4 linked regions of the Anolis sagrei genome follow. The protein of the gene in region 3 interacts with the protein of the main gene of each other region in a biochemical or structural test. Links are inferred from orthologs where the notes say so. Each region holds a gene or a part of one and is shown on either strand. Other genes may lie near its edges. The genes, in order: PRKN, RAD23A, ATXN3 and calpain-2 catalytic subunit.

Region 1 (7,204 bases), about 250 Mb from region 3:
GATTTTCTGCTCTTATATTCTGGGATATAGGACTGTGTGGAAGGGCTTTTAGTCACATCATTTATATGTGATTCATGAAGGCCCACCTATTGGATTGAAACAAAATGCAGCTAAAAGGCAGATCCGATAATCTAGAACACTGCTTCTTAAATTATAGGTCTTGACCCCAAACGGGATCCCCTTTGCTCAATGTTGGGGTCAGGAAAAATTGGCAACAGTAGAAGGTTGCTGGATGCCATTCATTTCTGCAACTCTGTTAACAACAATGTGCAGTGTTTACAGTGGACTCTGCAGAAAATGCTTCAGCTATACTCCAGAAACAAGAAAATCATTCTGTTTAGAAAGCCATGCAGATATTGATTTCTTATCAGTAAAAGATTGATTTGTATGCCTATTTATATACCTACTTGCTCATATAAAAATATCTTACGTTAAAAAGGTTGTGAGAGGAAAAGGTTTAAGAAGCCCTGATCAACAAAATATTTCCAAATAATTAAACTGATTGTCCTATGGGCCTAGGAAGGGAAACAGGGTTGGTATGTATCGATTCTTCATCCCCATCACCTGTAGATTATCTGCAGGCCTCTAATAAAAGCAGCTGTGCTGCCAGCACAGAAGAAGCAGTAGCATCAGAAAGCTTGAGGGCTGCAGTGTATTGGGATATTCTACTTTGAAAATGAAAAGAAAAGGTTTTTCTTCATAAGATACATTCCCTTAAGTTGAACAGTGCAGTATCTGGAGATACCTGGATATCTTTGTGTGTGTTGCCTGTAAACTTATGGAAATCCCATAAATTTTATAGCGTTTTCCATTGCTTTCCTCTGAATAGAGCCTAAGGCAATACTGTATACATTACCACTTATGTGTATGCTGCTTTTAATCAACTTATGAATAACATACTGTTTTCATAGGCAAGGAGTACTCAGAAGTGGGTTTGTCCATTCCTTCTTCTGAAATATTGGTACAGATTACAGTTGTTGGTATTTGTTGATGATCTGCTGTCCAAGTACTAATCAGGCCTGACCCTACTTAGCCTCTAAGATCAGATGTGTTTGGGTGCCTTTAGATTACAATGAGCCCGTGGTCTCCACTAGGGCTTGGATCAAGTCCTATTATATACAGTAAAGTTGTGTCCCATACATGTCTTTTGTTTTTAATATTTTCAAGCCATGGCTGGTCAAATCTGCAAATGCAGAATTTGTGGATATGGATTGCTGACTATATTTAGGCACCTAAATAATATTGGAATCCTGTAGAATTGGCAAAGTGGTGTGTGTGTATACATAGATTGATAGCCCCTCCCCAAATGTAGACAACTTTTCACAGTTAGTAATTATGACTGCTTTATGGCTAAGGAAATATCTTTATATTGACGTATAAACATTACAATAATGATTTATTACCACTGTATGGTAATATGTTCAAATTTGTCATTCCTGTGCAGCCATTCAACTGTTCACATTGTAAAGTACATTGCTGCCAACTTCCCTTAATGTTTTGTTTATAATTGCACAACACCTTTCTACAGTGCCCAAGTTACAAATTGGAACAGGTACATTTTTAAAGTGTAATTCCAGCTGTGCATGTGCGTTTGTGTAGAGTGTGTATATGGATGTATTTTAATTTGATTTATGTCTAACTGTAATTGTATAATTGTAATTGTTTGTGCTGGCATTTAATTTTGCCATTACCTATGTGAAAACCGCTTTGAGTCCCCTCCCGGGTGAGAAAATGTTATAAATACATATATAATATATATATATGTGTGTGTATGTATATGTGTGTGTGTGTGTATAGATGGGTAATATAGAGAAGGGTTAACAATCCTGTGGAGTTTGTTTTACTATCTGTGTCCCTGTTCAGAAGATTTCCCTCCCTTTCTGTCTCTGTGGCCATTGGATTTTGGATCATTTGGTTTGTTGTGGAAACAAGGATTGGTGAGAAAGCTTCAGTGGAGACTCCCTTTCCCCATGATGACTCTTTCATGTTGGAAATGACAACCTTCTTCAAGTCTTCTCTAGCAATATATTTATCTATGATCCTGTTGCTCACAGTTATCTGTATATGTATGTTTTTCAAAAATTTCAGGAGTGATTTTCCCTTTCTAGGGGTAGATTTCTCTCACTTTCTGTTCTCAGCCCCTTTCTTAACTACAAGTTATTTGTAAGTCGAATGTTTGTAACTCAGGGACAACCTGTATTGGGATCTTTTATATATTTGGGGTAGGGGTGGCAGAGAATTTTTTTAAAATGTTGGGAAGGGGATTGCCAAAGGAAAAAAAAAAGAACTGGAATTAGACTTTTCAGAATGTATGTTTTATAAGGAAGTTGGAATAAATCTATAATTGTAAACTGTTAAAGGCTGTACATCTCTTTGTAAAAAATGAAAAAGAAATCCAGAATTATAAACTGTTAAGGGAATAGATGTTTTTTGGGGGGAAAAGGGTAAAAAAAATATCCAAAATTGCAAGTTGTTAAAGTGACATATATTTTGGCTCTAAAAATGCAAAGAAATCCCAAAATTCCAAGCTGTTAAAGGGGTATACTTGGGGGGGAGGGGAATGCCAAAAATAGAATTATGATCTGCTAAAAGTGTATACAATTTTGAGGAACACCCTGTATGTGCGCCTAGGAATTAAGTGTTTTAGATTATTCAACATGAGAAAAGTATTTTGGAGCAGACCAGCCTCTGCTTCCCTGAGATCCCCCTCCTTCTGTTAGGAGAGAGCCAATGAAGGGGACGGGGAGGGGGAAACACACGCTGCATCCGGGTCCCACTCACCTATCATTGCCAGCGGTGGGAGAAGGGGGCGCTCTCAACCCCCGTCCTTTCCGCCACTCAAGTCTGAACCTTCTGAAGACTACGCTCCCTGCAGGCCGGCCGGACTTTAGACGCAATGCTGGCGGGGGCGGGGCGGGGAACCTCGCAGTGCTTTCTGGGAAACGTAGTTCTCGCCGCCTTGCCCGCGCCTTCACCTCTTCCAGCTACTGAATTCAATGAGTAGTGTGTGTAGGTAAGGGTGTGTGTCACGTGACCAGAGCTACCTCCCCCCCCCGCCTGTGGGTGACGTCACGGCGCGTGGAGACAGCAGCCTCTTGCTTGGCCCTGTTCAATAGAAGGAAAGGAGGGGAGAGGTTGCTTTCTATACATCCTTAGCAACTTATGTTTCAATCTTATCTATTTTCACAATGTTGCACCAGCCTTGGGGATTGTCTCTTGTGTTGTCTTCCAGTTGTAGAAGTCTGTTTTTATAACATTTGTGGATTTAAAAAAAAACATTTTACCAAAAATGTATATACCTTTAAAAAGTAATATTTCAGTGTGTATATATATATATATATATATATATATTCACACACACACATATACATAAATATATTGCCAAAATCAAAGCAAAACGTTTATGCAACGTTTGCAATTCTGTGCTTCGACCATGTGATCAGTGATTGCATTGCTGCTCACTGGTGTCATTTGAACACCTTACACAAAATTGTAATTTCAGGTGGAATTTGTAGGTGACTAAGAATGCATCTACACTGTTGAATTTATGCAGAGTCACGCCACGTTAACTAGTAAAAAAGGAAAGTGGCTGAGGCTGTTAGGTATTGTGGGAGTTGAAGTCCAAAACACCCAGAGGGCCAGAGTTTTTCCATGCCAGCTCTATAGCATACTATTGAGTGGTGGTATCTGTAATTTTACAAGGTCTTTAGCTTTCTTTGCCTAAGAAAGCTGGTGCCTGCCTAAACTAAAAATCCCAGGATTTCCTAGCATTGTGCTGTGGCAGGTAAAGTGGTGTCAAACTGCATTAATTCAACTGTGCAGATGCATCCTCAATCATTATAACAACTCTTCTTCAGTATGGGTATATTTATTTCGCCTTAAAATATTCTGCATGGCTACCATTAAACAATACATACATTTCTGTGGATACTGAGTTGTCAAAGGCTTTCATGGCCAAAATCACTGGGTTGTTGTGAGTTTTCCAGGCTGTATGGCCGTGTTTCAGAGCGTTCTCTCCTGACATTTCACCCACATCTTTGGCAGGCATCCTCAGAGGTGCAAGGCCATTAAATGATAATCAAGGTGGCCAACTGCAACATTCACACTTGCTTCAAACAAAGAAGAGTTTTTCCCCCCACCCTGGGCATTCCACAGATATGTTGTTGTTTATTCATTCAGTCACTTCCATGGACCGATTCTTCATGGACCAGCCTTCGCCAGAGCTCCCTGTCCGCTGTTACCACCCCCAGCCCCACAGATATATAAACCTCAATCTGGCTAATTTCTGACAGACCACACAACCTCTGAGGATGCCTGCCATAGACGTCTCGGCAAAATGCCATACAGACCAGAAAACTCACAGCAACTCTGTGGAGATTGTTGAACTGTTAACCATTTATTGTCTTGTATTGATCATTCATCCCCCTGTCCATTATTTATAGGAACACACTTTGCAAGAGAGAAAAAAGCACATTCTCTTTGGTCCCCAAGTTTAGCAAATGTGTAAATATAAAAAGTGATGTTAGACAGCAAGGGAGAGAAGGTCAGTGACTATATTTATAGGCAGCAATGAGAGATTTACTCTCCAGAAGTCAGCCTCAAGAACAAATAAAGGATGAATGCAAAACATGTACTAAATTAGAATAATGAAAGCATTTGTGAGTGCATTAGACCTACAGATGATAATTTTAATCAGGGTGCCTAAAAATTGGGGGAAAATTATGCAACCTAGTTCTTACTTCTAAAATATTTGAATGCCTTTGCAATGAACTTTTAAAGTGTAATTTTCTTGTATCAAAATTTAAAACAATATACTAGTGAAAGGAAAAGAAGCAGAAGGCAAAATGCAATTGTTTTGGTATGTTTGGTTATATTCATCTTGTGTACATATATAATAATCAGTTCTTTAAAGCATACTGCACTTTCAACAGGTGTATATTTTTTAAGATTTTTTTATTTTTAATATGTATACATACATAGAAACAATTGAAATACAAGTATTATTTCCTCAGTCCCACGACCTCCTCATTTCCACCCGTGAATCTCCACCCTTGATTTCTCTTTACATAATACAAACGTATGAGAATACTATTGAATATTTATATCTCACTATGTTCAAGTGTTTAATTATTTTTCCCTGGTTTCTCCATCTATTCTATAGTCTAAATTCAATGCAAATAGTTTGACTATAGCTCAGAGTCTTATGATGATGTAAACCGGGATACAGGATGATGAAGAATCAAAATGAATGCTTTTGAGAACCTTAGACAGTTATATATAAGATTAATAAAACTCAACAGGTGTATATGACATATACATGGATTTTGTGTTTAGCCTTAGGTCCTAAGATGGGCTGCATCAACACATTGTAGAATTAATGCAGTCTGGCACCACTTTAATGCCATGGCTCAATGCAAGGTAATCTGGAAGGCTGTAGTTTGATGGAGAACCCGTGCTCTTTGGCAGAGAAGTCTGAAGACCTGCAGCTACAACTTCCATGATGCCACAGTATATAGCCATGGAAGAAAAAGGCTGGATCTACACTGCCATATAATGCAGCTTGAAATGCTTTGGAATACCGGCCCCAGAGAGATCAAAATGGCACTGTGATGTCTCGGCCTGTTTATTTCTCAGTTGGACTGTTCCATTTTACCAAGTTTAGGGGAGAGCTTAGGTTCCCCTAGAGGCCGAGTTCGGTTGGTGCAGCCCATTCTGACTCAGAGCCAGAATGGGCTGGTTATAGAACTTCGTTTCCCATTCTTTGTCAGTCTTAGCTTATAGATAGTTGCCAGATAGTGTCTGGTCTGGCCAAGCAATTTGAACAGGCCATCCTAATCACGTATTTGCCAAAGCTTATAGATAAATAGTAATATACATAGAATAGTTATAGCCGTATTTGCCTTAAAGTTTATAACACGTATTTGCCTTATAGATAGTATTTGCCCTAAAGTTTATAATAGATAGTTCGTAGATAGTTGTATTTGCCATAGAATAGTTATAGATAGTTAGATAGATAGTTTATAGATAATATATGTAATAAAGGATAGATAATATTTGTCATAGATAGATAGTTACATCATCCCCCATAGTGTATAGTTATATTTACCTCAGTTATACCATCATAATTAATCTTCACCTTTGTACATTGTTGTAATTCATCTTGTTTGTTTAGTAAACTCAATTTGGTTAAACTTAATCTTGTTTATAGAGTTTTATTTTGGGGGAATTATAGTAATTAGGGCATATCGATGGTCACTGGGAAAATAGCCAGACACATTTGGGTTTTTCATTAGATCTCCCTGGTGTGCCATCACAGTGATTAGGATCCTGATCGGCTTGTAGCCGATTCAAATTGCTTATAGAAAGTTATAAGAGAGAGCCCACTCCCTGCAAAGGGGGTGTGAGAGAAGAAAAAGCACTGTTTACATAGTGATTGGGAGCCTGATCGGCCTTGTGGCCGATTCGGATCGCTTATAGAAAGAAAAGAGAGAGCCCTCTCCCTCAGGGTGTGTGAGAGAAAAAGGCACTGTTTCCACTTTTCCATTGGAAAGTGTAACAAAGTTATAGGAATACTTGGGTGAAGTGTTGCTAAATTGAATACTTTTATAGTAAGGAGAGTTAGGGGCAGCTTTTAAAGTAAAAAAGCTGCCTGCCTGCCCTTTTAAAAGACATTGGAGGCTTGTTTCCTGTCAGAGAGTGAAAAGGGCAAAGCTAGCACCTGCTATTTGTCTTAAGGGGGCATTTGGCGCCAAAAGGGGTTTTTTACAGTTTGGCAGCCATTTTGTGTTCATCCTATTATAGTAACATCAGAACTGTGACAGCCTTATTGTCCCCTCAAAAAGAAGCGGCGGCCATTTTGCCTTCACCAGTATACATAGATTTCTATGGGATTTTGTGCTGATAGTGTAGAAAGAGCGGGAAAAGGTGTTTTGGCGCCTGTTCTGGCATTTTTCTGAGGAAAAGGAGTTAGAAGACTCTTATACCTATTCCAGTAAATTGTTGTTTTGCTGTTATAGTATAGGTGGTGACAGTAGGCTGTGTGAACATTTTGCCTCACACTCAGTCCTCTTCACCCACATAGAGTTGTTGCCTCAGCAACCAGCATACAACAAGAATGGATGGGCTTTCTGATGGAAGTGCAGACAGACATGTACACATTTCCCGTTCACATAGGGTTAGGCACCCCACAGAGAAGGCCCTACAG
Region 2 (7,789 bases), on a different chromosome or scaffold from region 3:
ATCTCGACAGATTAGAGAGATGGGCCAAAACTAACAAAATGAAGTTCAACAGTGACAAATGCAAGATACTCCACTTAGGCAGAAAAAAAGTTCAAAGATACAGAATGGGGGATGCCTGGCTCGAGAGCAGTATGTGTGAAAAAGATCTTGAAGTCCTTGTGGACAGCAAGTTAAACATGAGCAAACAATGTGATGTGGCGGCAAAAAAAGCCAATGGGATTTTGGCCTGCATCAATAGGAGCATAGTGTCTAGATCTAAGGAAGTAATGCTATCCCTCTATTCTACCTTGGTTAGACCACACCTGGAATATTGTGTCCAATTCTGGGCACCACAATTGAAGAGAGATGTTGACAAGCTGGAATGAGTCCAGAGGAGGATATTAACTTTATTTGTACCCCGCTAACATCTCCCGAAGGACTCGGTTCGGCTTACAAAGGCCAAGGCTCTCAATAAAACAACAGCATAACATGTACAACAATAAAATTCATAAAGCAAACCAATAAACATTAAAAGCAATAGCAATAAAACATTAAAAACAATACATCATAACACATTTAAAACTAGGGCCGGGCCAAATGTAATGACTAAAATTAAAAGTGCTGGACATGACAGGTGAAATGTAAGGATTTTAGGGTAGGTGCGATGTGCAGGCAATCTTAAATCTCTAGTAAAGTGCGTTTGGGACATGATACTGGGAGATTCCTATTCTGGAAAGGCACACTGGAACAGCCAGGTCTTCAAGCTCTTCCGAAAGACTGCCAACATTGGGGCTTGTCTGATGTCCTTGGGGAGAAAGTTCCAGAGTCGGGGGGCCACCACAGAGAAGGCCCTGTCCCTCGTCCCCACCAAACGCACTTGCGACGCAGGTGGGATCGCGAACAGGCCTCTCCAGATGAACGGAGGGATCGTGTGGGTTCATATACGGAGATGCGGTCACGCAGGTAGGCAGGTCCCAAACTGTTTAGGGCTTTGTAGGTGAGCACCTGCACCTTGAATTGGGACCGGAAAATGAATGGCCCCCCGACTCTGGAACTTTCTCCCCAAGGACATCAGACAAGCTCCTGAAATCAGACAAGCTCCTTGGGGAACTTTCTCCCCAAGGACATCAGACGGAGCTCCTTAAACAGGAGGGTTGACCTCTCTCTGTAAGGAGCACCAGTTAACAACCTGGCCGCCGCCCATTGGACCAGTTGGAATTTCCGAGCCGTTTTCAAGGGCAGCCCCACATACAGCGCATTACAGTAGTCCAATCTAGAGGTGACCAAGGCATGGACCACCCCGGCCAGATCAGCCTTGTTGTGTGATTTATGTAATTTTAATGTTTTAAATTGTATTATGATACTATGTATACTGTTTTGTTGGAAACCGCCTTGAGTCACTGATAGGCTGAGAAAGGCGGTATACAAATACGGTAAATAAATAAATAAATACTATGGAGAATATATATTTTTTTGTCTTGTCAGGAGCGACTTGAGAAACTGCAAGTCTCTTCTGGTGTGAGAGAATTGGCCGTCTGCAAGAACGCTGCCCAGGGGACGCCCGGATGTTTTGATGTTTTTATCATCCTTGTGGGAGGTTTCTCTCATGTCCCCGCAATGGGGAGCTGGAGCTGACGGAGTGAGCTCATCCACGCGCTCCCCAGATTTGAACCTGCGACCTGTCAGTCTCCTGCTGGCACAAGGGTTTAACCCATTACGCCACCGGGGGCTCCTATCTATATCAATAAAAATGTAATGTTCGTTTGTGGGATTAACAGAACTCAAAAACCACTGGACGAATTGACACCAAATTTGGACAGAATATGCCTAACAACCCAATGTATGTCCTTCACTCAAAAAAATTGATTTTGTCATTTGGGAATTGTAGTTACGGAGATTTATAGTTCACCTACAATCAAAGAGCATTCTGAACCTCACCAACGATGGAACTGAATCAAACTTGACACACAGTTTTCCCATGACCAACAGAAAATACTGGAAGGGTTTGGTGGGCAGTGTCCTTTGGTTTTGGGGTTGTAGTTCACCTACATCCAGAGATCACTGTGGACTCAAACAATGATGGGTCTGGACCAAACTACATGAATACTCAATATGCCCAAATGTGAACACTGGTGGAGTTTGGGGGAAATAGACCTTGACATTTAGTAGTTATAGTTGCTGGGATATATAGTTCACCTACAATTCTGAACCCCACCAATGATAAAATTGGGCCAAACTTCCCATAGAGAATACCCATGACCAACAGAAAATATTATGTTTCCTGATAATCTTGGGTGACCCCCATCTTGACATTTGGGAGTTGTAGTTGCTGGGATTTATAGTTCACCTACAATCGCAGAGCATTCTGAACCCCACCAATGATAGAATTGGGCCAAACCTCCCCTATGTGGGCCACAGCAACGTGTGGCAAGGGACGGCTAGTGGAGAATATTTTTTTGTCCTGTCAGGAGCGACTTGAGAAACTGCAAGTCGCTTCTGGTGTGGGAGAATTGGCCGTCTGCAAGGACGCTGCCCAGGGGACGCCCGGATGTTTTGATGTTTTATCATCCTTGTGGGAGGCTTCTCTCATGTCCCCGCAATGGGGAGCTGAAGCTGACGGAAGGAGCTCATCCACGCTCTCCCCGGATTCGAACCTGCGACCTGTCGGTCTTCAGTCCTGCTGGGACAAGGGATTAACCCACTGCACCATGGAGAATAAAATCACCCAATGTGAGTTCCGTGGAAGCGGGAGGGCTAATTCGGGAAGGGCGCCAGGCAGGGAGGGAGCTCACCGTCTCTTCGGGCTCCATCCGGATCTTGAAGGTCTGCTGCTGGAGGGTCTTGAGGGTGACGGTCACCGCCATGGCGGCGGGAGCGAAGGCCCAAGAGGCGGCGGCAGCGGCGGCGAAGACGGGCGGTTCCTGCCAACGGACTCAGCGGGGGCCCCCACCACAACATGCAACTTCACGCCGCCGCCATTTTAATCGCCCCTTGGCGCCACTTCCGTTGCCCGCCAGGCCCTCCCCACGTGACGCGGGAAGGACGAATGGGGCAACGCGCGTGGCTCACGACCATAGAGTCGGAGGCTGAGGAGGGAGTCTGACTTCCGGGTGGTGTGCCAGCGGGAGGGGGCGGGGGTTAATCTTCACGGGCCTCCTTTTTCCCGCCACTGCTTTGGAGCCGCTCTTCCAACCATAGGGATTGATCAGGGACTGCAAGCTGCACCTCAGCGCTTTGAGGGGACTCTTCTGAACGCTGTGAAAAAGATCTTGGGAGTCCTCATGAACAACCAGTTAAACATGAGCCCACAATGGGATGCGGTGGCAAAAAAAGCCAATGGATCAATAGGAGCATAGTGTCTAGATCTAGGGAAGTCATGCTCTCCCTCTATTCTGCCTTGGTTAGACCACACCTGGAATATTGTGTCCAATTTTGGAGTCCACAATTGAAGAGAGATGAGGGCGACTAAAATGATCAAGGGTCTGGAGAACAAGCCCTATGAGGAGCGGCTTATGGAGCTGAGCATGTTTAGCCTGAAGAGAAGGTTGAGAGGCAAGATACTCCACTTAGACAGAAAAAACGAAATGCAAAGATACAAAATGGGGGACAATGCCTGGCCCAAGAGCAGTACGTCTGAAAAAGATCTTGGAGTCCTCGAGGAAAACAAGTTAAACATGAGCCAACAATGTGATGTGGCAGCAAAAAAGCCAATGGGATTTTGGCCTGCATCAGTAGGAGCCTAGTGTCTAGATCTAGGGAAGTAATGCTACCCCTCTATTCTGCTTTGCATAGACCACACCTGGAATACTGTGTCCAATTCTGGGCACCACTATTGAAGGGAGAAGTTGACAAGCTGGAATGTGTCCAGAGGAGGGCGACTAAAATGATCAAGGGTCTGGAGAACAAGCTCTATGAGGAGCGGCTTAAGGAGCTGGGCATGTTTAGCCTGAAGAAGAGAAGGATGAGAGGAGATATGATAGCCATGTATAAATATGTGAGAGGAAGCCACAGGGAGGAGGGAGCAAGCTTGTTTTCTGCTTCCCTGGAGACTAGGACGTGGAACAATGATTTCAAACTACAAGAAACATGAGGAAGAACTTCCTGACTGTGAGAGCCGTTCAGCAGTGGAACTCTCTGCCCCAAAGTGTGGTGGAGGCTCCTTTGGAAGCTTTTAAACAGAGTCTGGATGGCCATCTGTCATGGGTGATTTGAATGCAATATTCCTGCTTCTTGGCAGGACGTTGGACTGGATGGCCCATGAGGTCTCTTCCAACTCTTTGATTCTAGGAGACATGGTGAGGGCCATGTATAAATATGTGAGAGGAAGTCATAGGGAGGAGGGAGCAAGCTTGTTTTCTGCTGTCATGAAGACTAGGACGCAGAGCAATGGCTTCAAACTTGAGGGTGACGCAGCATAACTTCCTTTTTTCAAAACTTAATAAAACCCATTGAATGAATCAGAATTTTTATTTTATTTTTTTGTAATGTAAGCGCCTACCTAAAGTTTTGTTTTACATAGTTTTGAAGATCAAATTAGGTAGGTGACGTCCCCCATTCTCCATACACTGAGTAAACCGATTTTTGGCTTTTGTCATGACTCTTGCCAGCATAGCAGGCGTTATGTTGGCAGTTTCTTCCTGGATGTTGGTCTTCAAATCTTGTAGGGTCCTTGGACGGTTCACATAAACACGGGATTTCAAAAAACCCATAGAAAAAAATCACAAGGGGCCAAATCTGGAGAGCGGGCCGGCCACTCCAAATCCGCTCGAAAAGTAGGCCTCAATGGCAAAAGCACGCTCCTCACTGTCCCAACGCATGATGCCGACTGAACTGTGTCAGGACAAAAATTTATACTCCCGCCTCTCGAACAAGACCACATCTTCAACCGACTGAATGGTACGCATTTTAAAAAAGGAAGTTATGCTGCCTCACCCTGTACAAGAAAGGAGATTCCATCTGAATATTAGGAAGAACTTCTTCACCGTGACAGCTGTTCAGCAGTGGAACTCTCTGCCCCGGAGTGTGGTGGTGGCTCCTTGACATCCGCCAGAAAATAGCAGACTGTAACGAAAGGACCAGAGCATTGACATGTCCAGCCCAGTGTGCAATACGAGGGTTGGAACTTTAATAGTGGCAACACTACTGTAAAGACGCCATGCAACGAAACCAAAGAATGTTGCGTATACCACACATTAGTTACATACCTACCTTACCGCTGAGCAAAAATACTCACCATTTCTACATTACGGGCATGTGGAGTGATGTGAAAAACTGAGATTTGTATTAGCTTGCAGTCTAAAGTAACTGTTGACAAGATGTTTTTGAAATAAGAACAACAGAGTTGGATAAAGATTGAATGTGCCAGAGGTTGTACGGTCATATGCGCAAATCCTGTGTTTTGGGCCAGCTCATGAATTGTATGGTGTCGATCACTGTCTACAAGTGCAGCAACAGCATTCACTTCTGCTTTGCTGACACTAGGATGACCTGACCAATGCATGTCTGCCACATTTTGGCATCATTCGTTGAAGGCTTTTACCCACCTTGCCACTGTTCTATAAGGCAATGCAGATTCCCTGCAAGCCTCTTGAAAACCTTGATGACACTGTCGTGCTGTACGACCTCTGGCACATTCAATCTTTATCCATCTCTGTTGTTCTTGTTTAGAAAACATCGTGACGACACTTATTAGACCGTAAACTAATTCGAGGCTCAGTTCTTCGTGTCACTCCGTATGCGCATGATGTAGGAAGGGCGAGTCTTTTTGCTCAGAGTTAAGGTAGGTATGTAACTAACGTGGTTTACGCGACATTCTTTGGTTTTGTTGCATGGCGTCTTTACAGCAGTGTTGCCACTATTAAGGTTCCAACCCTTGTATATCCCACCACATTAAAACAGTGGATGTGGCTCTTAATTAGACATGCCACATTATCATAGGATGTCTATGCCCAACATCGCTAGAAAATTATACTATATTGTACCACCTGACATCTGTTGAGAAGTAGCAGCTGGTATTGAAATGACCAAGGCATCGACATCTTCGGCCCAGCCTCTGTTCAGATATCTGCCAACATAACCAAGTCTTAAACCAAGAAATAGCTTCCTAAGATCTATAGAGATACTTGCAGGCACATCTCAGCAAGTGAGAGTCCAAAAGTGGCAGGTTAAAATCCAGAATCTCAATCAGCTGATACCAGATGAGAAACTCCCCCCTAGGCACAGAAAACTGGGCGACTTGGAAGGTGTTGAGCAGACTGAGCTCTGGCACCACGAGATGCAGAGCCAATCTTAAGAAATGGAGCCACAAAGTGGAGTCCATGACATGTAAATGTGGAGAAGAGCAAAGCACAGACCACTCACTACAATGCAGTCTGAGCCCTGCCACATGCACAGTGGAGGGTCTTTTCACAGCAACACCAGAAGGCACTCAAAGTGGCCAGCTTCTGGTCAAAAGAAATTAAGTATAATGCCAAGTTTTAACTTTGTGGTTTTTCATACATTATAACTGTATTCTCAATTCCTTCTGACATGATAAATAAAATCTTGTCTCAGAACTGCAATGGACAACTATCAAAGACTGCCATATTCTGCAGTTTGAACTCCACTGACCATGTTATACAAGTCTACGTTTAGCTGCATTAAATAATAATAATAATAATAATAATAATACTTCTTACCCGCCTCTCCTTATGGCTCAAGGCAGGTTACAAAACAATTAAAATACACAGCAAAAACACTAAAATGAACCTTCATAAAAATTACACACCAAAACGTATCTACAATTACATACTAAAACACACAAAACAGAGATCAAACAAAGGACACTTAACATTCATGTTTAGATTGAGTAGGCTTGCCAGAAAAAATAGGTCTTTACATGGTTTTTAAATTCTGACAGCTCATTTAGCTGTTAGTTCTTCCGGTGGGTTGTTCCAGTCATGGGCGGCTGACGAAAAGATCCTCTGGGTGGTAGTTGCCAGTTGAGTTCTAGCTGGTTGGAGCAGACGCCCCACAGAAGACCAAAGTGTGTGGGGTGCATTGTATGGGAGAAGGTGATCCTTTATGTAACCTGGACTCAAACCATGTAGGGCTTTAAAGATCAAAACCTTGTACTTTCCCAGAAACTAATTGGCAGCCAGTGGAGTGACTTTAGGATAGGTGTGATATGTTCACTCCTAGATGGCTGCTGCATCTTGAATTAGCTGGTTTCCAAATTTGGTACAAGGGTAGCCCATTGTAAAGCACATTGCAGAAGTCCAACATGAGGTCATCAGTGCATGCACTACCATCTTTAGGTCCTCTAAATCTAGGAAGGAGCACAGATGGTGTATCAGCCAAAGCTAATAAATACTCCTGACTGCCACATCTACATGCACTGAAATTCGGAGAGATGGATCCAGGATCCTTCGGAGGCTTTTAAACAGAGACTGGATGGCCATCTGTTGGGGGTGTTTTGAATGCAAATTTCCTGCTTCTTGGCAGGGGGTTGGACTGGATGGCCTGTGAGGTTTCTTCCAACTCTACGATTCTGCAAGCAGTCTTTCAGGAGTGTAACTCCATCCAGAACTGACAAACTTCCATCCCCCAGCTTGATGGCAAGTACCTGTTTTGTCAGGATTTGTTTTTCTTCATCCAGCCCATTACCTGCTACAGGCATTCGTTCTGTGGAGACACAGAATCCTTAGCTAAATCAGTTTTGGAAGGAATGCAGAAATACATTTGGGTGTCATCAGCATACTGATAACAGTGGGTTGTTGTAGGTTTTTTCGGGCTATATGGCCATGGTCTAGAGGCATTCTCTCCTGACGTT
Region 3 (7,908 bases):
AATGTCCTTGGAAGCACTTTTTTCCTGCTAGTAATCATACGTTGTCCCCCGGATCTGCTATCCTGACAGTTTACATTGCTCCCTCAACCAGTGTTTTTAAATTTTTAATTCTTTGCAACTGGCCCTGCCCACTGTGATTAATTTTCTGTGTTCAAGTGTTCTGATTTTATATTGTTTGATGTGTATATTTGTATTGATTTTGTATGTTATTTTTTCTGTTGTATATTGCTTTATTGTACTACTAGCCATCCCCTGACATGCGTTACTGTGGCCCACATGGGGGTTCTGTGTGGGAGGTTTGGCCCAATTCTATCGTTGGTGGGGTTCAGAATGCTCTGTAATTTTACGTGAACTATAAATCCCAGCAACTACAACTCCCAAATGTCAAGATTCTATTTTCCCCAAACTCCACCAGTGTTCACATTTGGCCATATTGAGTATTCGTGGAGAGTTTGGTCCTGATCCATCATTGTTTGAGTCCACAGTGATCTCTGGATGTAGGTGAACTACAACTCCAAAGTGGAATCCTCGACATGCGAGTGTGGAGAAGAGCAAACTACAGACTACCTGCTGCAATGCAACCTGAGAGCCCTGCCACATGCACAATGGAGGACCTCCTTGCGGCAACACCATAGGCACTCCAAGTGGCCAGATACTGGTCAAAGGACATTTCATTAACTACCAAGCTTGCAAACTTTGTTTTTTATCTATTTGTTTTGTTAAAAATGTAATACAAATGTCTGGTTGCTCCTGACACGATAAATAAATAAATAACTCCAAAACCAAAGGACGCTGCCCACCAAACCCTTCCAGTATTTCCTGTTGGTCATGGGAGAACTGTGTGCCAAGTTTGGTTCAATTCCAACGTTGGTGGGGTTCAGAATGCTCTTTGATTTTAGGTGAACTATAAATCCAAGCAACTACAACTCCCAAGTGACAAAATCAGTTTTTTTGAGTGAAGGACATACATTGGGTTGTTAGGTGTCTTGTGTCCAAATTGGATGTCAATTCATCCAGTGGATTTTGAGTTCTGATAATCCCACAAACAAACATTACATTTTTATTTAAATAGACTAGCCGTCCCCTGCCACGCGTTGCTGTGGCCCAGTCTGGTAATCTGGAAAATAAAGTAATGTGAAAGTGTGGGTTTCTAATATATGTAATTTCTTGTTGTTTCTTTGTCAGTGTTGATGTGTGGATGGTCTGGTTTGCCTACTCTGGAATATGGAACATAATTGTCCTTCTTTAGGGGTCCCTGTCAAATCTATGATCTCTGTGTGTGTGTGAATCATATCTATCTATCTATATTTATGCCTGGATAGCTCTTTGTCAGAAGGGCTTTGATTATGTATTCTTGCCCTGGTGAAGGGAGTTTAACTCGATGGCCTTAAGTATATTCTGTTGGTCATGGGGGTTCTGTGTGGGAAGTTTGCCCCAATTCTGTCATTGGTGGGGTTCAGAATGCTCTTTGATTGTAGGTGAACTATAAATCCCAGTAACTATAACTGCCAAATGTCAAGGTCTATTTCCCTCAAACTCCATCTGTGTTCATATTTGGGCATATGGAATATTCGTGCCAAATTTGGTCCAGATCCATCATTGTTTGAGTCCGCAGTGCTCTCTGGATGTAGGTGAACTACAAGTCCCAAACTCAATATCAATGCTCACCAAACCCTTCCAGTATTTTCTGTTGGTCATGGGAGTCCTGTGTGCCATATTTGGTCCAATTCAATCACTGGTGGAGTTCAGAATGGTCTTTGATTGTAGGTGAACTATAAATCCCAGCAACTACAACTCCCAAATGATAAAATCATTTTTTTTTTTTTGAGTGAAGGACATACATTGGGTTGTTAGGTGTATGCTGTCCAAATTTGGTGTCAATTGGCCCACTGGTTTTTGAGTTCTGTTAATCCCACAAACAAATATTACATTTTTATTTATGTAGATTTCTATCCTGCCCTTCTCCTCCTGAAGGCGAACTCAGGTGAACTATAAATCCCAGCAACTACAACTCCCAAATGACAAAATCAAAAAAATTTGAGTGAAGGACATACACTGGGTTGTTGGGTGTCTTGTGTCCAAACTGGGTGTCAATTCGTCCAGTGGTTTTTGAGTTCTGTTAATCCCACAAACAAACATTACATTTTTATTTATATAGATTGGACTTGGCCTCATGTAAACCACCCCAGGTCCCCTTGGGGAGATGGTGGCCGGGTATAAATACAGTTTATTATTATTATTCCTCATGATTCAGCTCATGTTCTTTGTATCCAGCAGGTATTCAAGTCACCATCCACCCCACAATTACCTGTCTAATTACTTTTCACTTCTAACGCTGCGATTCTATGATTGTAAGAGTGATATCATGACAGATGTCAGTGAAGTGGAGCAAGCAGGTGGACCAGTAGCAGAAGCTCCCATGCCAGGGTTGTGATTAAGTGTCTGACAAAACAGGGCTGAGCCCACACACCCTCCTCCTCCTCCTCCTCCATGTTGAGACTCATACTTCCCTATTTGGGACTCACTGCCACCAGCAAGAACTCCACCCATTTCTACAATGTAGATCAGGCATGGGCCAAGTTGGGCCCCCCAGGTGCTTTGGACTACAACTCCCACAATTCCTAACAGCCGTAGGCTGTTAGGAATTGTGGGAGTTGTAGTCCAAAACACCTGGGGGGCCCAACTTGGCCCATGCCTGATGTAGATACAGCTTTCCCTCCTTCCTCACAACATTAACTTCGGTCCCCGAGTAGGAGGCTTCCCCGGAAGGCCTCCAGCTCTCTGCCTCAACTTCCAGCGGGAGCGACAAGCCCTCCTTCCTTCCTTCCTTCTTCCGAGAAGACAAGGAATTGGCTTCTCCCGCCTCCCTGCCGGATCCCGCGTGGCCCCTCCAAGGCGCCCACTCACCCTCTCGTGAAAGATGGCCTCCATGTTTATTTGTCTCCCCACCGACACCAGCCTCCGCGCCACGTGACGGAGAGTCAGCCAATCGCAACAGGCTCCGTCCCTTCGACCAATCACCGCCGCTTCGTCATTCGAGGCTGGGCTTTACCTCACCCCGCAACCTATCTATGAGCTCAACCCATACGTCAAAGAGAGGATGCTAAGGAGAGCGTGCTCTGTTTTACCCACACTTCCGGTTCCAATTGACAACATTTATTTTATATATTTAATTCATGCCCTATCCCGAGCTCTGAAGATCACCTGGGAAGGAATCCCACTGGAGCATGGCAGCGCACCCAAATACCTGGGAGTCACTCTGGACCGTGCCCTGACCTACAAGAAGCACTGCCTGAACATCAAGCAAAAAGTGGGTGCTAGAAACAATATCATACGAAACCTGACTGGCACAACCTGGGGATCACAACCAGATACAGTGAAGACATCTGCCCTTGCGCTATGCCACTCTGCTGCTGAGTATGCATGCCCGGTGTGGAACACATCTCACCACGCTAAAACAGTGGATGTGGCTCTTAATGAGACATGCCGCATCATCACAGGGTGTCTGCGCCCTACACCACTGGAGAAATTACACAGTCTAGCCGGTCAAAGCCATGGTATTCCCTGTAGTAACCTACGGATGTGAGAGCTGGACCTTAGGGAAGGCTGAGCGAAGGAAGATCGATGCTTTTGAGCTGTGGGGTTGGAGGAAAGTGCTGAGAGTGCCTTGGACTGCGAGAAGATCCAACCAGTCCATCCTCCAGGAAATAAAGCCCGACTGCTCATTGGAGGGAAGGAGACAAAGTTGAAGTACTTTGGCCACATCATGAGGAGACAGCAAAGCCTAGAGAAGACAATTATGCTGGGGAAAGTGGAAGGCAAAAAGAAGAGGGGCCGACCAAGGGCAAGATGGATGGATGGCATCCTTGAAGTGACTGGACTGACCTTGAAGGAGCTGGGGGTGGTGACGGCCAACAGGGAGCTCTGGCGTGGGCTGGTCCATGAGGTCACGAAGAGTCGGATACGACTGAACGAATGAACAACAAAAGCCGGTATAGCAACCACCTGACATCCGTCGGGAAGTAGCAGCCAATAGTGAAAGGACCAAGGCAGTGACATCTCCAGCCCATCCCTTGTTTGGGTATCAGCCAGCACGTCAGCGACTTAAATCAAGAAATAGTTTTCTCAGTTCTACAGAGACACTCGCTGGAACACCCCAGCAAGCAAGAGTCCAAAAGTGGCAGGTTCAAACCCAGAACCTCAATCAATGGCTGATACCAAATGAGAGACTCCCCCCTGGGCACACAGAAGACTGGGCGACTTGGAAGGCACTGAACAGACTACACTCTGGCACCACGAGATGCAGAGCCCACCTCAAGAAATGGGGCTACAAAGCGGAATCCACGACATGTGAGTGTGGAGAAGAGCAAACCACTGACCACCTGCTGCAAAGCAACCTGAGCCTTGCCACATGCACGATGGAGGACCTTTTTGCGGCAACACCAGAGGCACTCCAAGTGGCCAGATACTGGTCAAAGGACATTTAATCAGCTACCAAGTTTGCAAAATTTGTGTGTTTTTTTAATGTTTGTTTGTTTTCTTCTGTTAGAAATGTAATACAATGTTCTGGTTGCGGATGACACGATAAATAAATAAATATGGTGTATTGTTTATAGTCTATTGCTTGATGTTTTTGATTTGCTTTATAATGTTATGTGTATTGTTATGTTGTTGTCTTTTATGAACCCACGCGTTCCCTTCGTTCATCCGGAGAGGCCCTGCTCGCGATCCCACCTGTGTCACAGGCGCGTTTGGTGGGGACGAGGGACAGGGCCTTTTCTGTGGTAGCCCCCCGACTTTGGAACACCCTCCCCAAGGACATCAGACAAGCCCCTACACTGGCAGTCTTTAGGAAGAGCTTGAAGACCTGGCTGTTCCGGTGTGCCTTTCCAGAATAGGAAACTCCAGCAATATGTCCCAGAAGCACTTTATCAGAGAGTTAAGATTGTCTGCACATTGCACTTACCCTAAAATCCTACATGTTACCTGTCATACTCAGCACCTTTTAATCTGTACCCATTACAATCGGCCCAGCCCTAGTTTTTAATTGTGTTATGGTGTATTGTTTATCGTCTATTGCTTGATGTTTTTGATTTGCTTTATAATGTTATGTGTATTGTTATGTTGTTGTCTTTTGAGGCCTCTGCCTATGTAAGCCGCATCGAGTCCTTTGGGAGATGCTAGCGGGGTACAAATAAAGTTAATAATAATAATAATAAATATGTAATTTCTTTATGCTTGTGGGTAAACAGTATTGCTTGCTGTTTCTTTGTCAATGTTGATGTGGAGAGTGTCTGGTTTGCCTACTCTGGAATATGCAACATATCTTTAAGGGTCTCTTTAAAATCTATGATACTATATCTGTGTGTGTGTCAATCATATCTATCTATCTGTATGGCTGGATGGCTCTTTGTCAAGAGAGCTCTGATTGAATTTTCTTGCAGTGAAGAGTTGGACTGGATGGCCTTAAATATTTTCTGTTGGTCATGGAGGTTCTGTGTGGGAAATTTGCCCCAATTCTGTCGTTTGTGGGGTTCAGAATGCTCTTTGATTGTAGGTGAACTATAAATCCCAGTAACTACAAATCCCAAATTTCAAGGTCTATTTCCCCCAAACTCCATCTGTGTTCATATTTGGCCATATGAAATATTTGGGTCAAGTTTGGTCCAGATCCATTTGGGTCAAGTTTGGTCCAGATTTGAATCCACAGTGCTCTCTGGATGTAGGTGAACTACAACTCCCAAACTCAAGGTCAATGTCCACCAAACTCTTCTAGTGTTTTCTTTTGGTTATGGGAGTCCTGTGTGCCAAGTTTGGTTCAATGCCATAATTGGTGGAGTTCAGAATGCTCTTTGATTGTAGGTGAACTTTAAATCCCAGCAACTACAACTCCCAAATGACAAAATCAAAAAATTTTGAGTCAAGGACATACATTGGGTTGTTAGGTGTATGCTGTCCAAATTTGGTGTCAATTGGCCCACTGGTTTTTGAGTTCTGTTAATCCCACAAACGAACATTACATTTTTATTTATATAGATTTCTATCCTGCCCTTCTCCCCCTGAAGGGGGATTCAGGGCGGCCTCACATAAGCATCATGTGATGCTGTCAGCATATAACAATAAGGAATACAGTAAAAATCATTAATTCTGCAGGAGGCAGCAACCGGATTTTAAGTGGATTTTTTTCTCTAGTATGATGAGGCCCCCGGACTTCAACCCACACAATTCCCAACAGCCTATTGTCTATTAGGAATTGTGGGAGTTGAAATCCAAAACAACGGGAGTGCCCAAGTTTGGCCATTCCTTATTTACATTGTCGAATTAATGCATGATTTCTTTTCCTACTGCCTTCTACTTTACTAGGCACAATTGTCTTTTCTAATGAGTCATGTCTTCTCATGATACGTCCAAAGTACAAGTTTAAGTCTAGTCATTTGCTTTCTAGGGAGCGATCAAGTTTGCTTTGCTCCAAGACCCATTTATTTGTCTTTTTGGCAGTCACAGAACTCTTCTTTGGCATGACATTTCAAATGAGTAGACATAGGCTTTCCTCACTGTTCAGCTTTTACAATCATATACAGAAGAAAATACAATGGTAAGGACAAAGATTACAAAACACATCATCCTCCTTTCCTAAATGCCGAAGGAATAAGGGACAGATTAGAATACCTCCTTCATTATGTGTTTTTTTTCCTTTTTGAAATGAAATTTTAGTAATGGTTAATTAGGTCTTCAAAGCTCCATTATGCTTCAGAGATACTCATCTGGGTAATAATAATAATAATAATAACAACAACAACAATAACACTTTATTTATATTCTACTCTTATCTCCCTGAAGGGACTCAGGGTGGATTCCAAACAAAAAATGCAAACGTCCAGTGCCCTATTTCTGGTATTCCTGATATCTGCAGTGTTTTCTTCTAGCAAACAAATGAGTTTTAAAAGCACTAAGAAATTTTAAAAAGCTGACAAAGTTTTAGAGGTGTATATTTTCCCCTCTCACTGATTTATATTCCTATGTAGAATGCCTTGTAAAACAAATGTATAACTAAAGCTATTTATATTTCCACTGCCAGCACTAAATAGATATATTTTAATGCATTTGTTTGTTAATATGCAGCAAAGTATAAAGTTTTGGGAGAGAGAATTTCAAAACAAAACATCCAAATACTTTTTAGGCTGGTTGTCATCTTCTTTTTATTTAAAGGTGGAAAAAAGATCTCATGTGTATGTCCCCAGAGAAGAAATTCCAGAAATACAAACTTTAGAATTTTACTCTAAAGAAAAATGAATGCAATGACATTCATTCATAACTGGAAAAAATGTTATGTGTTTCTTCTTAAAAGTAACTTCTTAAGCTCCTGCTAAAGTCATGAATTTAATAGATGGCCCGGGACTAACAATTTTTGTTTCACTCAATGACACGATCATTTCATTTGAAACATTATTTCCATGTGACTTCTTCTCCAGGTTTCAATTCCCTGTGAAAATGAAAGAAAGGATTATCAAATTAGGAATGTTGTCTTTCCAGAAAAAATTGTTCACATTTAAAAGTACGGTATATTCTGCTATGCAACTAGCAATTTTGGTAACAGATGGGAAAAAACTTCACCACAAGTCTTCACTTTTATGCTTTTTTGAACAATATTTCAAATAGTAATAAAGATGACAATTTATTTTTAAAATAATATGTTTGTAATTTTTTGTACTCAAAATCCCTAATTGGATATATGGCCTGTTCCCAATATTTTTTTTGAATAAATAAAATAAAGATGTTCAGCGCTCTTCAGTTACATTTTCAAAATAATTTTGGTTACTAGAGCAATAGAAGACATCATCTCCACCACGTTCAAGCTAACAGTAAAAACAGGAGTAGAAACATGGCCCACTGGCTTCATGTAGCATG
Region 4 (7,091 bases), about 280 Mb from region 3:
ATGTCTGTTTTGAGCTGGGTTATCTGAGTCCACACGGCCATATATTCCAGTTCAAAGCAGAAAATGTGGGATATTATTCAGCTGTGTGGAATGGGCTTTAATGGGCAGAAAAGCAACTAGTAAGATTTTTAAACAAATAATAATAATAATAATTACATAAGTGGAAACCTCTAGCTCCTTGAATATTGTTGGACCATTGTTTTTCAGTATTTACTATACTGGATACGGCAATTGGGAGTTTGAGTCTAGTAGCATCTGGAGAGTTATATAAATATCAGATTTTTAAATCTGTAAGATTAGCTTGTTATCTCTAAATTATTATGTGGACAGATAAGAATCTTTACTGATTGACCTTTCCTGTTTTAGGCCTTTTAAACTTTTCCTGTTCAAAGCAAGTTGAGTATTTTATGATGGCTGGGTAGCTGCAAGTGGTCAAGCTGGAAAAACATCTTTAACGCTTGCTAACATATCCTGGTTCCAAAACATCTTGCAGAAGTCACTTCTATACATTAATAAGCACTGATATAGGGCATATTTCACCATTCCAGTGCACTGCCAAAGCTAGTTAGGGATTATGGTGTTTGTAATCCAAGACATTTTGATGTTCCTGCTTCTTGGCAGGGGGGGTTGGACAGGATGGTCCATGAGGTCACTTCCAACTCTATGATTCTACTCCATATTGACCTGGAGAGTGGTGGTTCAAAAAGTAACATTCCCCGATTCTGTAATACCTGTAGTACACAAATGAATAGTCTTCAAGCCTTCTAGATTAGTCCCACTGTGTTGTGTGTCATGTGTGTGGTGTCTGTATATGTGTGTATAGACAGATAGATAGATGGATAGATAGATGGATAGATACATAGTTTGAATACTGAAAAATAAATGTAATAGTGAGGGAACTTGATAGGCACAGAAACAAACAAATAAACAATGGGTATTTAATAGGCAAGACAGTGTGATCTACAGACAATCCACAAGTTACAAACATCCTACTTACAAACGACTCATAGTTAAGAATGGAGGTGAAACAACAGGAAATAAGATAAATCTACCCCTAAGAAGGGAACTTGACTCCTGAAAGAATTAAAAATAAAAGTAAAGGTTTTCCCTGACATGAAGTCTAGTCGTGTTCGACTGGGAGGTGGTGCTCAACTCCATTTCTAAGCTGAAGACCCAGAGTTGTCCGTAGACGCCTCCAAGGTCATGTGGCCAGCATGACTGCATGGAGCGCCCTTCTCTTCCCTCAGAAGTGGTACCTATTGATCTACTCACATTTGCATGTTTTCAAACTGCTAGGTTGGCAGAAGTTGGCAGAAGCTGGGCCTAACAGCGGGAGCTTACCCTGCTCCCCAGATTCGAAATGCCAAACTTTCGGTCAGTAAGTTCAGCAGCTCAGTGGTTTAACTCGCTGGGCCACCAGGGGAAATTATCATAGGAAAAAGGCGTCTCCACTGAAACGCTATCACCAACCCTTGATTCCACAAGTCCAATTTTTCAAGATCCAGTCATCAAAGGGACAGAAAGTGAGGTGAAATCTTCTAAACAGGGAGGCAGACAGCAAAACAAACACCACAGGGATGTTAAACCTTCCCTATGCAATCCAAAGCTAAAATGTATGTATATTTTTGGCTGGAGATACACTTTTAAAAAATTACCTGTTACGAATTACATACAAATTCAACTTATGAACAAACCTACAAAACATAACTTGGTCGCAACTTGAGGACTGCCTGGAGTGCTTTGTGCACTAAAAACTACAATTTCCTCTCCCATTTGGCCATGGAAATCCACAAAGTGACTTGGAGCAGGTCACACACTCTCAGCCTCATAAGTTGCCATAAGTCAGAAGTGGCTTGAAGACAATTCCTAACAGTCGCAGGCTCTTTAGGAATGGTGGGAGTTGAAGTCCAAAACACCTGGAGTGTGAGCCCAAGTTTACGCGGTTGAGCGGGAAAAGGAAGGGGCCTGAGGCTGTTAGGAATGGTGGGAGTTGAAGTCCAAAACACCTGGAGGGAGGGCCCAAGCTTAAGTGACTGAGGGGGGAAAAGGAAGGGGCCTGAGGCTATTAGGGAGGGTGGGAAGTCCAAAACACCTGGAGGGAGGGCCCAACCTTAAGTGGCTGAGGGGAAAAAAGAAGGGGCCTGAGGCTGTTAGGAATGGTGGGAGTTGAAGTCCAAAACACCTGAAGGGAGGGCTCAAGTTTGCCCATTCCTGGTAGGATTAATACCATTTGAAATGCCATGGCTCAATGCTATATTTTCACCAGGTCTTTAGGAGCCCCGAAGACCGACAGGTTGTAGGTTCGAATTTGGGGATAGGGCGGATGAGCTCCCTCTGTCAGCTCCGCCTCCTCTTGCGGGGACATGAGAGAAGCCTCCCACAAGGATGGTAAAAGATCAGAGCATCAGGGCGTCTCCTGGGCAACGTCCTTGCAGACGGCCAATTCTCTCACACCAGAAGCGACTTGCAGTTTCTCAAGTCACTCCTGACACGAAGAAACAAAACAAAACAAACATGTAGTCTACTCGAGTTCTTTATCCTTCTCTGCGGAAGAGGGCTGGTGCCTCTCCAAACTCCATCTCCCAGGATCCCACAGAATGGAGGTGTGCCCCCAAAAGTTTCCTTCCCGGCCCCTTCCCTCCCTTGCTCCCTCCTACCGTGGGCCTCTTCCAGACGATGCCCTTGGTCTTGGCGGAGTGGGGTCCCAGCTCCTTGAAGCCCAGGGCGGGGGGCCCGGCGGGGAAGGAGGGGTCCTGGAAGAGCTTCCCGGCCTCCAGGCACTCGTCCCTGAGCGCCCCGAAGTCCTGCCGGAGGTACTTGACCGCCTTCTGGTTGGAGCCCAGCCCTTGGGCCACCGCCCGGTCTTTGGCCACTTTCGCTGCGATCCCAGACATGATGGTGGCTCGCCCCGGCCGAAGGAGGAATGCCCGCCCTCAGCTGCAACTCCTCTGCCAAGTGTCCAGAGAGAAGAATCCCTCCCAGCCGGATGGTGATTCATCGCAACGAGGGGAAATCTCCTCGCCTGGGGCGGGGAGGTGCCCTCACGGATGCCTTCACACTGGAGAGTTAATGCGGTTTGATGCCGCTTGAACTGCCCTGGCGCAATGCTGTGGAATTATCCTGGAGACTTTAGGGCAGGCATGGGCGAACTTTGGCCCTGCAGGTGTTTTGGACTTCAATTCCCAAAGCCTCTTAGGAATTGTGGGATTATTGGGATATTGTGTCCAATTCTGGGCACCACAATTGACAAGAGATATTGACAAGCTGGAATGTGTCCAGAGGAGGGCGACTAAAATGATCAAGGGTCTGGAGAACAAGCCCTATGAGGAGCGGCTTAAGGAGCTGGGCATGTTTAGCCTGAAGAAGAGAAGGCTGAGAGGAGACATGACAGCCATATATAAATATGTGAGGGGAAGTCATAGGGAGGAGGGAGCAAGCTTGTTTTCTGCTGCCCTGGAGACTAGGACACAGAACAATGGCTTCAAGCTACCAGAAAGGAGATTCCATCTGAACATTGGGAAGAACTTCCTGACTGTGAGAGCTGTTCAGCAGGGGAACTCTCTGCCTCGGAGTATAGTGGAGGCTCCTTCTTTGGAGGCTTTTAAACAAAGGCTGGATGGCCATCTGTCGAGGGTGCTTTGAATGTAATTTTCCTGATCTTGGTAGGAACTCCAAGAAGCAGATTCTGAGTTGAAGTCCAAAACACCTCCAGGGCCGAAATTGGCCCATGCTTGCTTTAAGGTCTTCAGCCTTCTCAGGCAAAAAGGGATAGTGCCTCACAGAACAATGGTTTTCCCCTCACATTAAGTCCAGTCATGTCCAACTGGGGGTGGTGCTCATCCCCATTTCTAAGCCAAAGAGCCAGCATTGTCTGTAGACACCTCCAAGGTCATGTGGCCAGCATGACTGCATGGAGTGCTGTTCCCTTTCCGCCGGAGCAGTACCTATTGAGCTACTCATATTTGCATGTTTTTGAACTGCTTGGTTGCAAGAAGCTGGGGCTGACAGCGGAAGCTCATGCCGCTCCCCAGATTCGAACCTGCGACCTTTTGGTCAACGAGCTCAGCAGCTCAGCGGTTTAACCCACTGCACCACTGGGGGGTCAGCTATGGCAAACTGTGAAAGTAATGTAATTTGACCTCTACTATAGCTGCTATGGAATTTTGAAAGTTGTAGTTATGCAAGGTTTTTAGCCATCCCTGCCAAAGAGTGCTGCTGTGCTTCCCCAAACTATCAATCCCATGATTCCATAGCATTGAGCCATGGCAGATTAAAGGTACACCATGCAGTTTGACACCACTTAACTGCCATGGCTCAATGCTATGGATGTCCCACCTTGGAGTTTAAGATCATCCAGGGAGGCCCTGCTCTCGGTCCCGCCTTTGTCGCAAATGCGTTTGGCAGGGATGAGAGACAGGGCCTTCTTGGTGGTGGCTCCCCGCTCTTGGAACATGCTTCCTAGTGAAGTTAGGTCAGCTCCATCTCTCCTTTCCTTTAGGAAGAAGCTGAAGTCATGGTTCTGGGACCAGGCATTTGGGTATCAGGGTCAACCTCATAACCTCTGAGGATGCCTGCCATATATGCAGGTGAAACATCAGGAGAGAATGCTTCTAGAACATGACCATATAGTCCAAAAAACCTACAACAACCCAGTGATTCCGGCCATGAAAGCCTTCAACAATATACTTACATATTTTCAAATCTTGGTGTTCCAGTATATTTACATGGGGAAAAAAAGGTTCTTTTGGAGTTTTTTCAGGCTATTTATTATATGTTTTCATATACTGTAGATAAGAGATACATGGACTTTCCCCTCAGGCAGTAACACAGTAACACAAGTGCAATGTCTGGGCACTTCTATGTCACTACAACCCCTTCTACACTGCCATATAATCCAGATTATCAAATCGGATAATCCATACTATTTTTGAACTGGATTATATGAGTCTATACTGCCATATAATCCAGTTCAAAGCAGATAAGATGGATGTTATATGACAGTGTATAATGGGCTTACATTTCATAACATTATGTATAAAGCATGTTGTGTGTTAGTTAGCATTTGAGTCATATAGAATTCTTATTTTTATTTTTCCTTCTTGGACCAAGGTAGGTAACTTTCTCCTTTTTAAAAAAACTGGACTTTCTGCATTCTGGGAATAGATGGAATAACTATGAAGAAAAAATGTGAGTGGAGGAATAGAAGGATTTGGATAGCCACCATGTGGACAGCCCAAAAAAGTGAATGCAGAAAGTAAGAATCGGAAATAAATGAGTGAAATTTATGGAAGGCATCCCACAAGGAGTAATGTAACTTCCTTGTTTGAAAGCTTTACTTACCTATTTGTAAGCAGATATACTATCCCATTACTGCCATGTTTTCATTTCATTTCCCAGTAGTCTGAGAGCTGTGGCAGGTAGGAAAATGCTTAACAAATAGTTTTAATGAATAAATAATATCAGAAATCTTTAACTTTTAGGGCAGCCACAAAAGGCAAAGCTCAGCTTTCTTTGAATGCTGCTGGAAGTTGATGGGGTTGGCACCCATTTGGTTAGAATCTCTGTCCATCTTTCCAATGAGTATATTTAATGTACATGTGTCAAATCCAAGGTTTGTGGGCTTCCATGTCATTTTATGTGGCCTTCCAGATGCTGGACTACAATTCCTGTTTTTCACATCATTAGACACGATGACCACGGCTGATGGGAGTTGTGATACAGTACAGTCACAATGGGGTCAACCCTTGTGCTGCTGAATTGCTGACCTGAAGGTTGGCAGTTTGAATCTGCGAGACAGGGTGAGCTCGTGCTGTTAGCCCTAGCTCCTGCCAACCTAGCAGTTCAAAAACATGCAAATGTGGGTAGGTCACTAGGTAATGCCTCAGCAGGAAGAAAAACAGGTACTCTGTACAGTCATGCCGGCTACATGACCAGGAGGTGTCCATGGACAATGCAGGCTCCTCGGCTTGGAAATGGAAATGAACACCTCTCTCAGAGCCAGAGATGAGTACTGCCTCCAGAGCTGGAAATGAAAGGAGAAGCCTTTGTCTTTGTGTATTTGTGTTTCATTGTATGCCTTTGTAACAAGGCATTGCATGTTTGCCTGTGTCTGTTTATATGCTGTAATCCGCTCTGAATTCCCTCAAGGAGAAGGACAGAATATAAATAAAGTGCTATTGTTATTATTTGAAACACAACAAGATGAGTCCACAGCAAAAAAGATCACTCTGCTGGCTGTTGTATTGGATCACACTTCGGAAACTTCCCAAGTGTCTAGGACTGTGTGATGTATCGGTGAATAATGCATGCAGATCCCAGTAGGGTGGCCTTTTGCAGCTGGCAGATGGTTATCTTGACAGCGCCGATTGTATTTAAGTGCAGGCCAAGGTCTTTAGGCACTGCATCCAGTGTGCCGATCACTGGGATCACCATTATTATTATTTATTATTTATTACTTATTATTATTATTTTGAAGGCTGCAGTTTGTCTTGTTTAGTCAGGATAGTTGGGTCTGAATTCAGATACAAGGCTTGTTGATGTGATGTCTGACTTTAAAATGTCCTTTAACCTTCTCCCAACCTCAGAGAAATAAGTCCTGTTGTTTTGCAATTCTCATTATCCCCAGTTCACATTGACGATAATAAAAACTGATGGGAGTTGTAATTCAGTAACATCTGGGGACCCAAACTGAGTAAAACCTAAAGAGCACAGACTAATAGATAGATAGATAGATAGATAGATAGATAGATAGATAGATAGAGAGAGAGAGAGAGAGAGAGAGAGTTGGCCCTTTGTATCCATAGATTCTCTGTCCGTTGATTCAATAACCCTTTGAAGGTTGAATTGGCCCTCAGTGAAAATGAGTTTGACACCCCTGGTTTCGTGCATTGGTTTGTTGTTACTTACTGTCTGTGGGAGATCTGAATATTTTTTCTCCTGTAGCCCTTTTTTTGGAGAAAAGATGCAAAGGTCATTCCGCCTTCCACAGTAATTATACCATTGTGCTGAAATTTCCTGTGAACTCCAGAAATATCTGAAATCCAGAAATAACAACCTGCAACCTTCTCTTGCAGGTGTGTGGTTGCAGAAGG

Evidence for each region.
Region 1: the proteins of ATXN3 (region 3) and PRKN form a complex in vitro, tested with the Homo sapiens proteins (4 studies listed by BioGRID and IntAct, with this or other methods). The link is inferred for Anolis sagrei from reciprocal best matches to the Homo sapiens genes ATXN3 and PRKN.
Region 2: the proteins of ATXN3 (region 3) and RAD23A form a complex in vitro, tested with the Homo sapiens proteins (2 studies listed by BioGRID). The link is inferred for Anolis sagrei from reciprocal best matches to the Homo sapiens genes ATXN3 and RAD23A.
Region 4: of the proteins of ATXN3 (region 3) and calpain-2 catalytic subunit, one has a biochemical effect on the other in vitro, tested with the Homo sapiens proteins (2 studies listed by BioGRID). The link is inferred for Anolis sagrei from reciprocal best matches to the Homo sapiens genes ATXN3 and CAPN2.

Annotation. Positions count from the first base shown.
Region 1 is NC_090021.1:66,823,644-66,830,847, reverse strand, and holds the start of PRKN (E3 ubiquitin-protein ligase parkin), read right to left. Parts: upstream 3,015-7,204; 5' UTR 2,789-3,014; coding exon 2,782-2,788; intron 1-2,781. UniProt on the Homo sapiens protein: Functions within a multiprotein E3 ubiquitin ligase complex, catalyzing the covalent attachment of ubiquitin moieties onto substrate proteins. Substrates include SYT11 and VDAC1.
Region 2 is NC_090022.1:162,469,955-162,477,743, reverse strand, and holds the start of RAD23A (UV excision repair protein RAD23 homolog A), read right to left. Parts: upstream 3,008-7,789; 5' UTR 2,844-3,007; coding exon 2,772-2,843; intron 1-2,771. UniProt on the Homo sapiens protein: Multiubiquitin chain receptor involved in modulation of proteasomal degradation. Binds to 'Lys-48'-linked polyubiquitin chains in a length-dependent manner and with a lower affinity to 'Lys-63'-linked polyubiquitin chains.
Region 3 is NC_090021.1:315,863,062-315,870,969, forward strand, and holds the start of ATXN3 (ataxin-3), read right to left. Parts: upstream 3,001-7,908; 5' UTR 2,932-3,000; coding exon 2,908-2,931; intron 1-2,907. Other genes in the region: NDUFB1 (NADH dehydrogenase [ubiquinone] 1 beta subcomplex subunit 1), read right to left, coding at 7,447-7,483. UniProt on the Homo sapiens protein: Deubiquitinating enzyme involved in protein homeostasis maintenance, transcription, cytoskeleton regulation, myogenesis and degradation of misfolded chaperone substrates.
Region 4 is NC_090021.1:38,504,398-38,511,488, reverse strand, and holds the start of calpain-2 catalytic subunit, read right to left. Parts: upstream 3,002-7,091; 5' UTR 2,895-3,001; coding exon 2,658-2,894; intron 1-2,657. UniProt on the Homo sapiens protein: Calcium-regulated non-lysosomal thiol-protease which catalyzes limited proteolysis of substrates involved in cytoskeletal remodeling and signal transduction. Proteolytically cleaves MYOC at 'Arg-226'.